2 linked regions of the Ovis aries genome follow. The protein of the gene in region 1 purifies or fractionates together with the protein of each later gene. This does not show direct contact. Links are inferred from orthologs where the notes say so. Each region holds a gene or a part of one and is shown on either strand. Other genes may lie near its edges.

Region 1 (7,987 bases):
TAGATGAATTTATATCCTCTGATTACCACAGGAGGTAGTGACTGGTATTTCAGGAGAAGGGGGACACGGCAAGGGAAGGAAATGCTGTGAGAGCTCCCTGCACTCAGGCCAGAGGGCAGACTGTCCATTATGCACGAGAACGGATGTAAGCTGGCCTCTGGACAGTCTTGGAGAGAGTACACTGTCAAATGCATATCTTTCTGGCTTCCTCTATCAGCTGATTCAGCAAAAAAATCACCCAGGCAGCAGTGACTCCATGCAGCAAAAGGCAGAGTTATTTCCAGTTAGTCAGTTAGAGGGTGTCAAAAGTACTACAGCAAACACAGACAATACAGTAAATGCTTCTACCAGAGAACATGCTAAGGTCGTGAAAGAAACATCTAAAAACAACGCATTTCCAATTTTACAGTATACTACAGCTGGCTCGTAAGTTAGTTTTCAAGGCCCTCCATTCTACGTGAGGTAAAATTCCAGTGTCAGTAATAAAAGTCTACCTTATTAGCAGAGTATACTCACTCAGTAGGGAACTAAGGTTGCCTCTCAGTTCAGAAGGCTGGATGTTCTGCTGATGACACCTCTTTTGAATCTTTCCTGGCCCTACACTAGCACTAAGGTATGAAAGCTTCACTTGAAGTAGGAATAGGAAATGGAAAAACCAAAAAGTTGAACATTTCTACTTCCAAGGCACTCAGATTTATCAGTCAGATCAATCAGTTTAGAAACCAACCACTTGGTTCAAAGCGAAAGAGCAAGACATCTAGACTGACACTGCCAGGACTTCCCGATGGTCCAGTGGTTAGGACTCCACGCCCTTCCACGGAAGGAGGCACGGGTTTGACCCCTAGTGGGGGAACTAAGATCCCAAATGCCACACGGTGCAGCCGAAAAAAATAAATAAAAATAAACAGAATGGCAATACCTTTGGAAAATAAAATAAATAACTCAAAGAACTCAGTAACTCCATCCCACAAAAACTCTAGTACTTTCAAGTTTTGGTTTCTTGCCTTTTAACCTCCACTTTATCGATTATATTCTGTCTCCCCATTCTCAAATCTTTGCACTGTCATAAAGACATTTAGAGAGAACATTTTTTCCCTTGATATAACCAATTAATTTTAACATAAAAAATATTACTAGACCTTTATCTGAAAATAATTCAAGATACATTAATACTTTATACAGTATAAAAGTTATCTCAACTCGACACCGGCAAGGTTGACAAGAATTATGACTAGCAACTTGTTAAAGGATTATACCTTAAGTGACAACAGAATATATTGCTTCTTTAAGAACAGCACTGCCAAGATGCTGCTGAGAAATGACACAATATGGAAAACCTCTTCTATGCAGTTACCAAATGAGAAACTGAACCAAGAAAGGTTATATTTAGGCTCACTAAATAATAAACAAACTAAAATGGATTGTTACCTAAACAACTGAAAAGAATTCACTGTGATTTTAAAAACAATTCAAAAGTTCACAGACTCAAACTTAGTTTCTAATCAAAAATATTTTCATTAAGATGACAATATTCAATTGCTTTTTTAAAATACGACCCACTACATGATCACATCCTATAGTTCAAAAAAGGAATTTGCAGTGACTTTCCTTACTTTTTATCACTAGTATCTTAAAGTTTTTCCACTTTAAACATTTTATAACTGTAGCCATCTACATAAAATATATATATGTAAGTATAAATTAAATAATAGAATCTGTATATGAAACCACATTTCTTAAATAAATCTGATAATATTCATTATCACTTGGTTAACCTCATCTAATACTAAATTTGGTTCATTATATATCAAATACTAGGCTGCTAAAAGCTATAAAAAGAATATACGCATTAACTGACCATTATTTAATAAGAATTTCCAACTCTTCAACCACATTTAGTTTTATACAGTCTGTTACAAACTAATGTACTAGACAAAAATTTCATTCAACAAATCATAGTATCTCAGACCTAACAGTTATAACCTGAAGTAACTGATAATTTTCACACTGGTTTATAAATAAACCTGGAGATCTTTCTACTTTCAACTATATTCATAGTCCAAACTCACCAAGAGTCTTTTTTAAAATTAAATAAGGCTGAAGTCTAGACAAGTTTTTCTAGATTCAGCAGAACCCAAATTGCTCAACCATAAGTTGTGAAAGAAAACTATCAAGATGCAAGACAGCAAAGTTCCTATGATCAGCCCCACTAATAATCAGCTGATGGTTAATTACTACTGACCTTCAATTAGACTGAAAAGAAAATGGTGTAGACTACGTACACGGATATTTTCAGAATATGTGACTCTGACTGAGTTAATGTCTACCACAATATTTGCCAATAGGAACTATGATTGATTTATACTTCACTTATGTGTCTGTCCCACAGGGACACTGTGTGTAAATGTAGAATTAAAGTTTTTAAAACAGTCAAGTTTTAAAATTAAAATTCACCACCACCAGCAGTCTCACTGTTGAGCTAAAGATTAATGTTCAAGAACAAATACATAATTTAAAATTTTCCTACTCTCCCCATTCTTCCACTTGAACCACTCCATCTTACACCAATCAGGATATCCTTTCATTCTCAACTGGTTAGAGCTACAAACTAATTTACAATTCCCTCAACTATTAAGTTTGCTAGGTTCTTTTTCCAAGGAGACAGCTGCAGCTCATCTCAGGGAATATCTACATAGCATAAAACCATTTAAAACTGAAATTATTGTTGCTTCTTTTTAAATTAAAATTGTATAAATAAGAAATTGGCTATATAATCATCAAAGAAGTTAAAAAGTGACTCATATCCTATTAAGAGCTTTTTTAAAAGTGGAAATCTTTCTCAGCAGAATTTTTAAAAACATTCTAACAGCAAAGTGTACAACAAATGAAACCAAAACCTGTGGAAATATAAGGTACTTTAGAAGGCTCTAGTTTTAAGTTTCTTTACTAATACTTAAATGCTCTTCCAGTTATAGATTTACGGTTTTAAGGAAAAAAAAAAAAAAACTTTTGAGAACCACAGTAACTTCTTTAACATTATCTGAGTTCTCAAAGAAGCTAAAACTTTACAGTCTCACTTAATTCTCACAACAACCCTGAGAGATACTATTTTATTTTTACAGATGAGAGAACTGAGGCTCAAAAGTCAGCTTTCCCAAGGTCACAAAGCAAATGTAAGACCTGAGGCAGTAATCTGAAACCAGGCCTGTGCCATTCCAAAGCCCTGGGCTTTCTCAATCATTGTTAGCAAAGTGGTCTAAACCCCAAAGCTAAGTTAAAATCCCTTAAGCCAATCCAAGGTACTAAGTATTTTTGGTGAGGAAATAACTAGGTTCTATAACCAACACTCAAGTTGTAAACCAAACAAGAGAATGACAGTCTATCTTGTCCTAAATTAATTACTTCAAAAGCAGCCCTTATGTAAAAAAAAACAAATCTCCCTTTAATGACTAAACCCCAGTCTCCAGGGTCTCACTGAAGTAATTTCACCAGACCTCAGAAGCCTTCAGCCAACAGTATGTAAACTAATCCATGTTTCTTTTTTGTATTTGTAAAATGATTAAGTACCCTCTTCTCTGTAAACAACTTCCCACTGTCAGGCGGTGGGAGTGGATACTGAAGGTACTCACTCTGGGCCAGAATTTCTGGCCCAGAAGAGTTAAGTGGCAGTAGGCCCATCAACTAGTAGGCCAAGGTTTGCAGAGTACTGGTAAAGCAATGTTTCCTGCTCTGTTTAGTCAACCATACTTAGCACCCAGTGGCAAAGTCAGAAAGAGTCATTAAGCTTAACATTCTTTTCAAACTCCACCCTTCACTGTAAAGCTTTAATAGTAATGGCTTCTTCCTCCTTGGTAATGATCTTTGTTCAGCATAGTACTGATGGCTGCCCTCCTAACTCAGGACCAGAGAAACAGCATCAGAGAGAGAGCATTCATCCAACAAAAAAAGCATTTACTGTACTTTCCTCTCAAGGAAAACTGTACCCATTATCTTTGTCGATTAAAAAAAAAAACACAAAACTATTTGGATTCTTTCCGGACTAACCAATAAGCAATTCTTTTTTTCACTCCCCATCCTCCACTATGTTTTGTCCAAGGGCACTACATGGTTCCCTATCTTATGAAAAATATTTAATTTGACCAAAGAGCACACAACTTCCCCATGCTCCCCCACCTTTGGGGAAAGGTATGTGGCCAACCAGGACGCTTCCCTTCCTGTTCTAAAAACACCAAAAGGCTGGATCCTCCCAGCGTTGCAGCAGGAAGCAACCAGTCCGTAGCGATAAAGCAAGCTATTTGTGCAGCGTACAACCTTTCCTGCTCAGGAACTGGGCCTTCAGGTCTGGCAAGGATAACAGCCACCACCCATCCGTATCCCCTAGTCTCGGACAGAGTCAAGAGTTATCCCAGGCTGGTTGCCTCTGGGTAGGGAGGGTAGGAGAAAAGAAGGCTGGGTGGGAAGTCACATCGGTCTGCCGGGTCACTGCGACAAGTGCGCGCGTGGGTGCTGGGACAATCCCTCCTGCCCTACCCCCCACCGCCGGGGTCGCACGAGCGACGTGGGAGAGCTCGTAAACTACTCGCCGAGGGAAGGCAGAAAAAGAGCTACCAATGCCGGGGGCCATGCGAGGTTTCGGGCCACGAGAAGTGTGGGGCGGGTGGGGGTGGGGCCGCCGACCCGCTCGGATTTTTAACCAGGGCCTGGCCCCGGGGATAGAAGAGGGCGAGGAGAGGCGGCTGTCCGAGGGCAGAGGAGGGTTCGCCCGAGGGAAAAGGGAGGCAGATAAGAAAAAGATCTGTATGGGAGAGTTCGCCTAAAGAAAGGTGAAGAACGAAGGGAAAGGCCTGTCGGAGGGGCTCAGGAAGGGTGTATACCGAAGGGGAGGGGGCGCTGAACCCGAAAACATGGATGGTGGGGGGTGGGCGCCCCATTAAGGGGGCCCTGGAACCCGAGGAGGAAGGAAAGCGATTCGAGAGACGGCAGTCGGCCGCGAGAGGGGCGCAGGGTAGGGACCGTGAGGCTTCCTAAGGCCTCTGGGGAGGTCGCTATGAGACCGCTGTGTGGTGAGGACCCCCATCCGTGAGTGGAAGGAAAGGGGCTGAGCTGGGGGACCTCAGGATAAGCTGCACAGAGAGGAAGAGCTGAGGAAGGCCGATCTCAGGGCAGGGGCAACCCGCGGGCGGGTCCCCCGGGAGTGTCCCGGGCCCCCAAACCGGGACTCCAGGGAGACTTCCGGAGCCCACAGCCTCACCTTTGAAGAGGTAGTCGTACTCGTCGTCGCGGGTGCCCATTGCGCGGCCGAGAAGCGAAGGGGCGGGAGCAGCAGTGGTACCGGTGGGACCAGGGGGCGTCGCTGCAGGGGTAACCCGAACGCCGAGCTTCAGCTGCCGGACCCGGTAAAGAACCCCTCCCTGCCGCTACGCCACTTCCGGCAGGCCCCCACCCATAGGGGGAAGTACTTCCGGGGGCGGCGCCCCGCCCCTCAGCCCAATAAAGGGGGCGTGCGCAAGTTTGTCGTCTGTTGTCCAAGCTTCCCGGGCTTGGAGGGGTTTCGAGTGGGTTAATGAGCACTGTACTCCCGGCTTACCTCACTGATAGAGGCTGCTCTCCATACATAATAGTCTCTCCCTCACTCCACTCGCCGCTATTCGGGGAAGTGGGGCACTGGAGAGCGCTTCAGCACTGCCTCTGGTGGTCGGTTTGTGGATGGGGGCGGGGTTCTCTAAGGATTAGAGAGTCGAAGGCAGGATCGTGAGCGTGGCGGTTCCATGGTGTAATGGTTAGCACTCTGGACTCTGAATCCAGCGATCCGAGTTCAAATCTCGGTGGAACCTGTATTCCTTACACTTTTGGTTTGGGTTTTGTTTTTTCCCTGGCCACGATTTTATAAGTCATGTACTTATTCACAAGGTGACTCTTGTACACCTGCGGGGTATATGTGTTCTTGAACTGAGTAGGGAGGGAATGCCACGAAACTCAGTTGCCTAGGAAGAGCACATGCATTTCCTTCAGTTCTGTACTCTGTTACCTAGGTGTCTCCTAAGTATCCTCTACACTTCACCCTTTTTGTTTTTTTAACCTCGGCCGTCTTCGAAAGCTTCCATGAAAAGTTGATTGCTTTTGTTAGAATTTTCAGCCTCCAACTTCATACGAGGGCAGGCACTTTCCACTCCTTCTCTCCAGAAATCTCTCAAACTGTCTCCAGATGTATTCACAGAACCTCGCCCACCCTCCTCATCAAAATTCATCAAGAACTTCTTGAACCCTATTTGTCACCCTTTAAGCTGAACCTGGTTACATAGTTATTTTCTTTAACATGCAGAGCAAAGGATGACAATTTCCATTTTTGCAGAAACGTGGATGGGGAGGTTCAAGTGATTTCCAAAGATCACACACCAGGGCCTCCCTGTATGTGACGAGACTTATGATGGCTCAGTGGTAAAGAATCTGCCTGCAGATGCAGGGGACTCTGGCTTGATCTCATTCCCTGAAGGAGGAAGTGGCAACCCACCCCTGAAAAATCCCATGGACAGAGGAGCCTGGTGGGCTATCCAGTCCATGGGGTCCCAGAGAGTGGGACACACTGAGTACATAAGCACTATGTTTATGCCAAAAAGCTGTACCCATTTATTGTCAAACCTCACTACACCTGTGTGCAATTTAAGTTTTCATCAAGGGTGCCTGTAGTAAGTAGAATAAAGGCTCTCCCAAAATGTCCACATCCCAATCCTTGGGACCTGTGAATATACTAGATTATGTGGCAAAGGGAAATTAAGGTTGCAGGTGGAATTAAGGTTGCAAATCAACTAACTTTAAAACAGGACAATTATCTTTGGAGTCTCCATGTGGGCCTAATGTCCTCTCAAGTGTCCTTAAAAGTGGAAAAGGGAGGTCAGAGTGTTATGGTGTGCGAAGGCTTCAACAGGCCCTTTTAGCTTTGAACATGAAGAAAGGGGGCCAGGAGCCTAGGAATGCAGAGGCTTATAGAAGATGGAAAAGGCAAAATATAAATAAGAGGAGATGGAAAAGGCAAGGAAACTGAGTCTTCCCTAAGGCCACCAGAAAGAACACAGCCCTGCTGATACCTTGATTTTAGCCCAGTGATACCCGTGTCAGACTTCAGATCTATAGTACTATAAAGTAATAAATTTCTGTAGTTTTGTCACCAACATTGCGGTAATTTGTTACAGCAGCAATAGAAAACTAATACAGTGCCATTTTCAGTGCTTTCCAAAGCAGTATATAGCAACAGAAGGTTTACCAAAGGGTCAATAACAGTTCTGAAGGAGTAACGAGCAGAATGAGCAATTCTGGCAACAAATGGGTAGCTCAGAGGAACTGAGATAATTAGGAAGAACTCCCTGGGGACTTGCCTGGCAGTACAGTGGCTAAGATTCTAAGCTCCCAGTCCAGGAACTTGGGTTGGATCCCTGGTCAGAGAACTAGATCCGAATGCCATAAGGTAGACTGAAGATCCCATGTGCCACAACAAAGACCTGGTGACCTGGTGCAGTCAAATAAATAGGAAAAACAAACAAAGAACTACCTGGAAGAGGAGGAGCTAGCACTGACTCCTGAGTTCAGTTCAGTCGCTCAGTCGTGTCCGACTCTTTGCGACCCCATGAATCGCAGCACGCCAGGCCTCCCTGTCCATCACCATCTCCCAGGGTTCACTCAGACTCACGTCCATCAAGTCCATGATTCCATCCAGGCATTTCATCCTCTGTCGTCGCCTTCTCCTCCTACCCCCAAATCCCTCCCAGCTTCAGAGTCTTTTCCAATGAGTCAACTCTTCACATGAGGTGGCCAAAGTCCTGGAGCTTCAGCTTTAGCATCATTCCCTCCAAAGAAATCCCAGGGTTGATCTCCTTTAGGATGGACTGGTTGGATCTCCTTGCAGTCCAAGGGACTCTCAAGAGTCTTCTCCAACACCACAGTTCAAAAGCATCAATTCTTCGGCGCTCAGCTTTCTTCACAGTCCAACTCT
Region 2 (7,507 bases), on another chromosome or scaffold:
AGGTCCGTCTAGTCCAGGCTTTGGTTTTTCCAGTGGTCATGTATGGATGTGAGAGTTGGACTATAAAGAAAGCTTAGCACGGAAGAATTGATGCTTTTCAACTGTGGTGTTGGAGAAGACTCTTTAGAGTCCCCTGGACTGCAAGGAGATCCAACCAGTCCATTCTAAAGGAGATCAGCCCTGGGTGTTCACTGGTAGGACTGATGTTGAAGCTGAAACTTCAATACTTTGGCCACCTGACGCAAAGAACTGATTCATTGGAAAAGACCCTGATGCTGAGGAAGATTGAGGGCAGGAGGAGAAGGGGACGACAGAGGATGAGATGGTTGGATGGCATCACCGACTTGATGGCCATGGGTTTGGGTGGACAGGGAGGCCTGGCATGCTGCGGTTCATGGGGTCACAAAGAGTTGGACACGACTGAGAGACTGAACTGAACTGAATACACAATAAACAAAAGTTTAACTTAATGCACACCTCATGACTATCTTGCTCGTTATGCTAATCTTGAACTTAAGTGACAGACTGGGGTCAACTGAGAGGAAAAGAATGTTAGGGATGACACCATAAAAGCGGTTCCTAAAACAAGAGCAAACTCTCTTATATACACTTACCAGGTTCCTAATTCTAGTCACTGTGGAATGGGAAAGGAGTTTTAAAAGTACCATCAAAAAAACAGTAATACACAATAGTCCTCTGTACCATCAGAGCCCTATGAAATTCCAATATTAAATTTATGTCATATTAAAAACTAATACCACCAAAGAAAACATTACAGTTCTATAAAATGAGGAGGAAAATTGTACTCACCACTAGAATGTTTTGCTGCTTCTATTTCATCTCCTAAAATGCACTGACAAACCAATATTAACTAAAAAAACAAAATATAAAATACTTAACTTACTTTTTCATTTTTTTAGAGTTATACTTGACTTGGTAAGCTGCCTGGATTAATTTGTCTGGACCACCATCAAACTGATGTGGAATGACCTTCTGAAAGTGCTAAGATACAACAGAAGAAAAACATAAGAATTACTTAGTGCCATTTATTATTCACCAATACATAGTAAAATCTAAAGACATTTAAGAAATCATGACCTGGCTTACCTGTAACATCCCTTCCATGTCGAGTTGCATCAGTTCTGCCTGATTCATCTGAAGAAGCGCTAATCCTACCCGAAACACTATTTCTAAACCCTGAAGAATCAAATTATAAAGTCAAATTTAACTTACTCTTCCACAACAACTAATCACTCAAAAGAATATTAAGGTAAACACTTAGGTACCTAAACTAGAGGACAGCACACATTTTCTGTAAAGAGTTGGAAAACAAATGTTTTAGGCTTTAGGCCCTACCTATAAGTGTCACAAATAATCAACCCTGGAATTGCAGCTGAAAAGCAGACACAGACATCATATCAACAAACAGTGATGGCTATGTTCCAAGAAACTTTATTTACAGAAAGGACAGATTTGGCAGGCAAACCAGGATAGATCAGTACACGATTCATAGTTTCCTGGCTCCAGACTAACCGAATTAAGCTATGTTATATAAATTGATCTTCCCAAGATGTAATTAATAATAATTAATAACATTCTTAGGTGCTCTCTATCACTGATCACCTATCCTTACCTTCCTACTTTCTCAGTCAAAATACAGAAGACAAAGGGTCACCACTACATGTCAGTGACAGTTAAAAGGACTACCTGCAAGGTGTTCATGGGATAGAAGAAAATTATACTCATTACTTCTTCTTTGGGTAACAGATGCATTGCAACAATATTAACTGTAAAGGAAATTTTAACCCTCACTAATTCTCACTAAATCAAAAAGGAGGTAATTCAGGTCTGATTAAGAGTACAGGCTCCTGATTTTGACTGCCTATGTTTGAATCTTGGTTACTATACCACTTATGTGTTATGTGTCCATAGACAAGCTACTTAATGTTTCTCTAAGTATCAGTTTCTTCACCTGTCATCCATCAAATGAGGAGATGAACAGTACTCATAGGGATGTTATAGGATTAAATGAGATTATCCATGCAAGCAGCTTAGCATGGAACACATGAGTCTCCTTTATTGTTCTCCTCATTGCCTAGCTCTCATTAACCCAGTGATTCCTTTGCTCAGTCTGGTAAGCTGCCCACTAACTTACCTCAGACATAAAGATATCAAATATCCTTGTTGCGATTGGTAGTGGAAAAGTTGTAAGGAAGATAGTCAGAAACCATGATGATGCATACATTGAAGTATGAAAACTCTGAGACTGAAAATGCACAAAGAGCTCTGGAAGGTGCTCCTAAACAGAAGAAAGGAATTAATTAACTAAAACACTATAAAACTGAGTATTTTAAGCCAAACTATTGTACACATACTAAATTAGCCCTTACCAAACATAAACATGAAAATTCAGGAATCACATGGAAGAAATAAGAGGCAGAAATGGACACTTTAGATAGTGGTTACTATTTGGAAAAGGAAGAAGGGAAAAAGGATGTGGAGTTGGAACTTAAAAAGTTGGAACTTCCTAATGATTTCTTAATAAGAAAAATTACAATAAATAAGTAAAATTTTTACAATTTTCTTTACTTTTATATAAACTATAATATTTTTTAAAAAAAATTTTTTAAAGGAAAGATGCTATGTTGAAATACTTTCAGGTGCTATATAACCCTGACTGCCTATCCTAAGCTCCCTTCTCATCTGAGATACTTCAGTAACTCTAGTTAATTCAAAACATAAATGACACATTAACTGAAAATAAACCAAGGGAGTTTAAGGTTGATAAAAATAAGCTTACTATTTAAAAGACCAATAAGAATCATCAAGACCTACTTTGTCTTTCTCTTTAAAATGCAAAAACATTTGGTATATCCCTTTCTTCTCATCACACATAGAAAAGGTAAAGGATTTTAAAATTCCTGTGGGTAAGGCTGCCAGGGAAATGGAGACTTTTCTCAGGAAAATGGCTCTTATGCCAGCTGAATCCTTAACTTATATTCTTAAAGTTTGCTTACCTAATGGAAATGTAAGTAAATGGAGAATATTTATACCATTATACCACAGGGGAAAATACCAAATCTACTTATATAAATACAAAAATTAAATCCAGAAAGGTGAAATACTTTAAAGGTATTTTTCACTTGGTTTTGATTCCTCTCTTTCTTCTTCTCTTTACCCTCAGACAGTCAATAAGACTATGAATCTTAAATCAACAATATAAAAGGATAGAGACAGTAATTTTTTTAAGATTACAGGTTAGCAGAAAAAGTGAGATGAAAGGCAGTAAAGAAAGGTAGGGGAAAGGCAGGGGAGAGGATTGAAAAGATGAGATCCCATCTCAAAGGAAATGAATTGTATCAGCGTCCAAATGTCATGGGCTTCTGTAGGAGAGCATAATCTACATAAAATAATGTGATCAACACAGCATAATAAAGAAACTCATGCACCTAGGTTATGATATATTTGGCACAAATGTTTAAGATTTGAACATAAAAATTGTAGTAAAGTTCCAGATGATCTACCTGGCACAGCACCTAACTGGGAAGTAAAGTCTAAACTGTGGGTTAACGGACCAACAAATAATCATGTAATCAAAACAGTGATTTTTTTTTCAGTTGCTTTAATGCTTTTGACATTAAATTTGCTTAGTTGTCACTCAAACCAAGATGACAAAAAATACAAAGGCAGTATGTTTTTGGTTAACACCACACTTTTACCTGTATCATGCATTCAAACTGGTACATACAAAGGCCTAATTCTGCCATACTTGGTTTAAAAAGTTCACGAAGTCTATAATCTTGCATTAATTTAACAAATACACAGAAAGCTTCTTCTTCTGGCATCTGCATTAGGAGGAAAAAAAGCAACATCTATTAATGTTCTGTGATAAACAAATAAGCTAATACATTTAAACTAAGTACTTATCCAACTATAACCACTGTTTTGAGTGCCAAGTGATATAATATTAAGAGCAATGGACTAGGAATCAGAAGATTCTAACTTCCCATTCTATCACCATCAATGAGAAATTAGGCAAATCTTACAACTGAGACCAGCTGCCTCACTTGCCTAACTCATGAATTCAATCAACAAATATTCATTTAACGCCAGATACTTCTCTCTCTCTCATACACCAGTGAACAAAATAGTCTACTTTCAGGGAGTTTGAACCTTCCAGTAGGGGGAGATAAGACAATACATGGTGGTTTAGTCCCTAATAGTGCCCGACTCTTGTGACCCACCCTGTAGCCTGACAGGCTCCTCTGTGTATGGGATTCTCCAGGCAATATATGGAATAAATCAATTAATATATGTCAGATGGTGCAAAGTGCTATTGAAATAAGACAAAGTAAAGCAACAGGGAATCCTGGGGAGATACGTTCTATTTATTTATATGTAGGTCAGAGAATGTCTCTTGGTAAGGTTACATTGGAGCAGAATACTGAAAGTAAGGGAACAACTGAGGGAAGAACAGTACTGAGAGAATAATACAAATATCTTGAAATGGAATCACGAGTGGCATGCTCAAGGAACAATAAATGGGGGACTACTAAATTAGGAGTGATGTTACAAATGAAGGTATGGTTATAGAGGAGAAATACAACAAACCAAACCTTAGGATTTTAGAAACCACTGTAAGGACTTGAACTTTTATCTTAAGTGAGATGGGAGGCTTTTCAAGGGTTCTGAGCAGAAATGTAATTAGGGTTTTAAAGGTTTCAATTTCACATTTTGTGTGTAACCCACTAGATAATTACATCAACTAAGATACTGAATATAAAAGCTCTGTAGAGTTACACAGATATTAAATTTAGATACATAACATACAAATTACTGTGTGATCTTTATTTTTGTGTCATGCAGAGATATGAGTTCTCCAAACCCATGCCCTGGGAGCATACAGTCCTAACCACTGGACTGCCAGGGAATTTCTTGTGTATTAAGATAAAATTTTCTAATGTTCATTCACTCACACTATACCAGTGTGTTTTAAAAGAGGAAACCTCAAAAGGTCTCTAAGCGCTTTTCTTATTGAAGACTACATTTATTAACAATACATTTTCCCTGGCCTCAACACAGGGAATGAACAGGAGCCAAGAACTATTCTTAGCAAAACTCATCCTTCCTTCCTTCCTCCCAACACATATCTTCATTAATCCTATCAAGCTTTATAGCCTCACTGATTTTTATGTCAGTCACTACAAGAAACCCAGTATCCTAGAACGCTCATCCCATGTGCTTCCAGTGCTTCCATAATCTACCCCATTTCTAATATGCCCTAAACCTTTTACACAGGACTTTCTGGAACTAATAGCCTGCCATCAATAAAATATCCTATCTATACCCTCAATCTCCTCATCAAATGTTCTTTCACTGTCTTTCTCTAAGTGAAACCTGACTCCCCCTAAGGATACTTCAAAACCGAAATCTGGCTGTCTCCTGAGGAAGCTGTTTTCTCTCCCTCAGCACTGGAAGAGGGCAGGAATAGAGACGCACATGTCCCTCCTTGGACCTCAATGCCTCATCGCCACTAACTGCCCCTTCTCTCTGATACACATTTTCTCTATGACACCGAGTTAATAAGAATCATGTCTTTTGCAAAGGTCTAGTGGGGACACTATTTGCCCAATTTTAAAGCAGTACTAAGATTACACAAAACATATACCCAGTACTCTTAACTATTTTAACACCATGTCTGACTCACCTAGAGTCAGACATCCTGGAATGCAAAGTCAACTGGGCCTTAGGAAGCACCATTATGAACTAGTGGAGGTGATGGAATTTCAGTTGAGCTATTTCAAATCCTAAAAGAGGATGCTGTGAAAGTGCTGCACTCAATATGCCAGCAAATTTGGAAAACTCAGCAGTGGCCACAGGACTGAAAAAGGTCAGTTTTCATTTCAATCCCAAAGAAAGGCAATGCCAAAGAATGTTCAAACTACCGCACAATTATACTCATCTCACATGCTAGTAACGTAATGCTGAAAATTCTCCACTTCAACAGTATGAGAACCGAGAACTTCCAGATGTTCAAGCTGGATTTAGAAAAGGCAGGGGAACCAGAGATCAAATTGCCAACATCCGTTGGATTATAGAAAAAGCAAGAGAATTTCAGAAAAACATCAACTTCTGCTTCATTGACTATGCTAAAGCCTTTGACCGTGTGGATCACAACAAACTGTGGAAAATTCTTCAAGGGATGGGAATACCAGACCACCTTATCTGCCTCCTGAGAAACCTGTATGCAGTTAAGAAGCAACAGTTAGAACCGGACATGGCACAATAGACTGGTTCAAAATTGTGAAAGGATATATACTGTCACCCTGCTTATTTAACTTATATGCAGAGTACATCACGCAAAATGCCAGGGTGGATGAAGCACAAGCTGAAATCAAGATTACAAGGGAAAATATCAACAACCTCAGATATGCAGATGCCACCACCCTTATGCAGAAAGTGAAGAGGAACTAAAGAGCCTCTTCATGAAGGTAAAAGAGGAGAGTTTTCAAGCTGACTTAAAACTCAACATTCCAAAAATGAAGATAGCGGCATCTGGTCCCATCACATCATGGCAAATAGATGGGGAAACAGTGGCAGACTTTATTTTCTTGGGCTCCAAAATCACTGCAGATGGTGACTGCAGCCATGAAATTAAAGATGCTTGCTCCTTGGAAGAAAAGTTATAACAAACTTAGACAGCATATTAAAAAGCAGCGACCTTACTTTGGCAACGAAGGTCCATCTAGTCGAAGCTATGGTTTTTCCAGTAGTTATGTATGGATGTGAAAGTTGGACTACAAAGAAAGCTGAGTGCCGAGGAATTGATGCTTTTGAACTATGGTGCTGGAGAAGACTCTTGAGAGTCCCTTGGACAGCCAGTCCATCCTAAAGGAAATCAGTCCTGAATATTCATTGGAAGGACTGATGCTGAAGCTGAAACTCCAAAACTTTGGCCACCTGATGTGAAGAACTGACTCATTAGAAAAGACCCTGATGCTGGGAAAGATTGAAGGCAGGAGAAGGGGACAACAGAGCATGAGATGGTTGGATGGCATCACCGACTCAATGGACATGAGTTTGAGCAAGCTCCGGAAGTTGGTGAAGGACAGGGAAGCCTGGCATGCTGCACACCATGTAGTCACAAAGAGTGTGACACTACTGAGCGACTGAACAACAGTAACAGTAGAGAAACAGTTTCTGATTCCTACACTGCTCTTATCTACCAAGATATGTGACCTTGGGCAAGTCACTGAACTTCTATTGCATGTCTACCATGTGTCAAACACCATGCTAGCCTATTACATATATTATATAACCCTCATAATGAATCTAAAAGTAGAAGTAGTACCTAATTAAGGCTAAGAAAAAGATGTTAAAATAATCTAGCCCAAGGTTACAGAACTCAGTGCAGAACTGAGTTGCAAAAACAAGCCTAAATGACTCAAAAGTTTTCTCCAAGATTTCTTTTCAAGTTATATTTCAGTCTGAGACTTAATACAAGAGT

The links. The genes of interacting proteins can lie anywhere in the genome.
Region 2: the proteins of RAB11A (region 1) and EVI5 purify together in Homo sapiens (co-immunoprecipitation; 3 studies listed by BioGRID and IntAct, with this or other methods). This does not show direct contact. The link is inferred for Ovis aries from reciprocal best matches to the Homo sapiens genes RAB11A and EVI5.

Annotation. Positions count from the first base shown.
Region 1 is NC_056060.1:12,715,936-12,723,922, reverse strand, and holds the start of RAB11A (ras-related protein Rab-11A), read right to left. Parts: upstream 5,399-7,987; 5' UTR 5,292-5,398; coding exon 5,252-5,291; intron 1-5,251. UniProt on the Homo sapiens protein: The small GTPases Rab are key regulators of intracellular membrane trafficking, from the formation of transport vesicles to their fusion with membranes.
Region 2 is NC_056054.1:69,894,762-69,902,268, forward strand, and holds part of EVI5 (ecotropic viral integration site 5 protein homolog), read right to left. Parts: intron 3,846-7,507; coding exon 3,720-3,845; intron 2,300-3,719; coding exon 2,156-2,299; intron 1,198-2,155; coding exon 1,108-1,197; intron 1,003-1,107; coding exon 905-1,002; intron 1-904. UniProt on the Homo sapiens protein: Functions as a regulator of cell cycle progression by stabilizing the FBXO5 protein and promoting cyclin-A accumulation during interphase. May play a role in cytokinesis.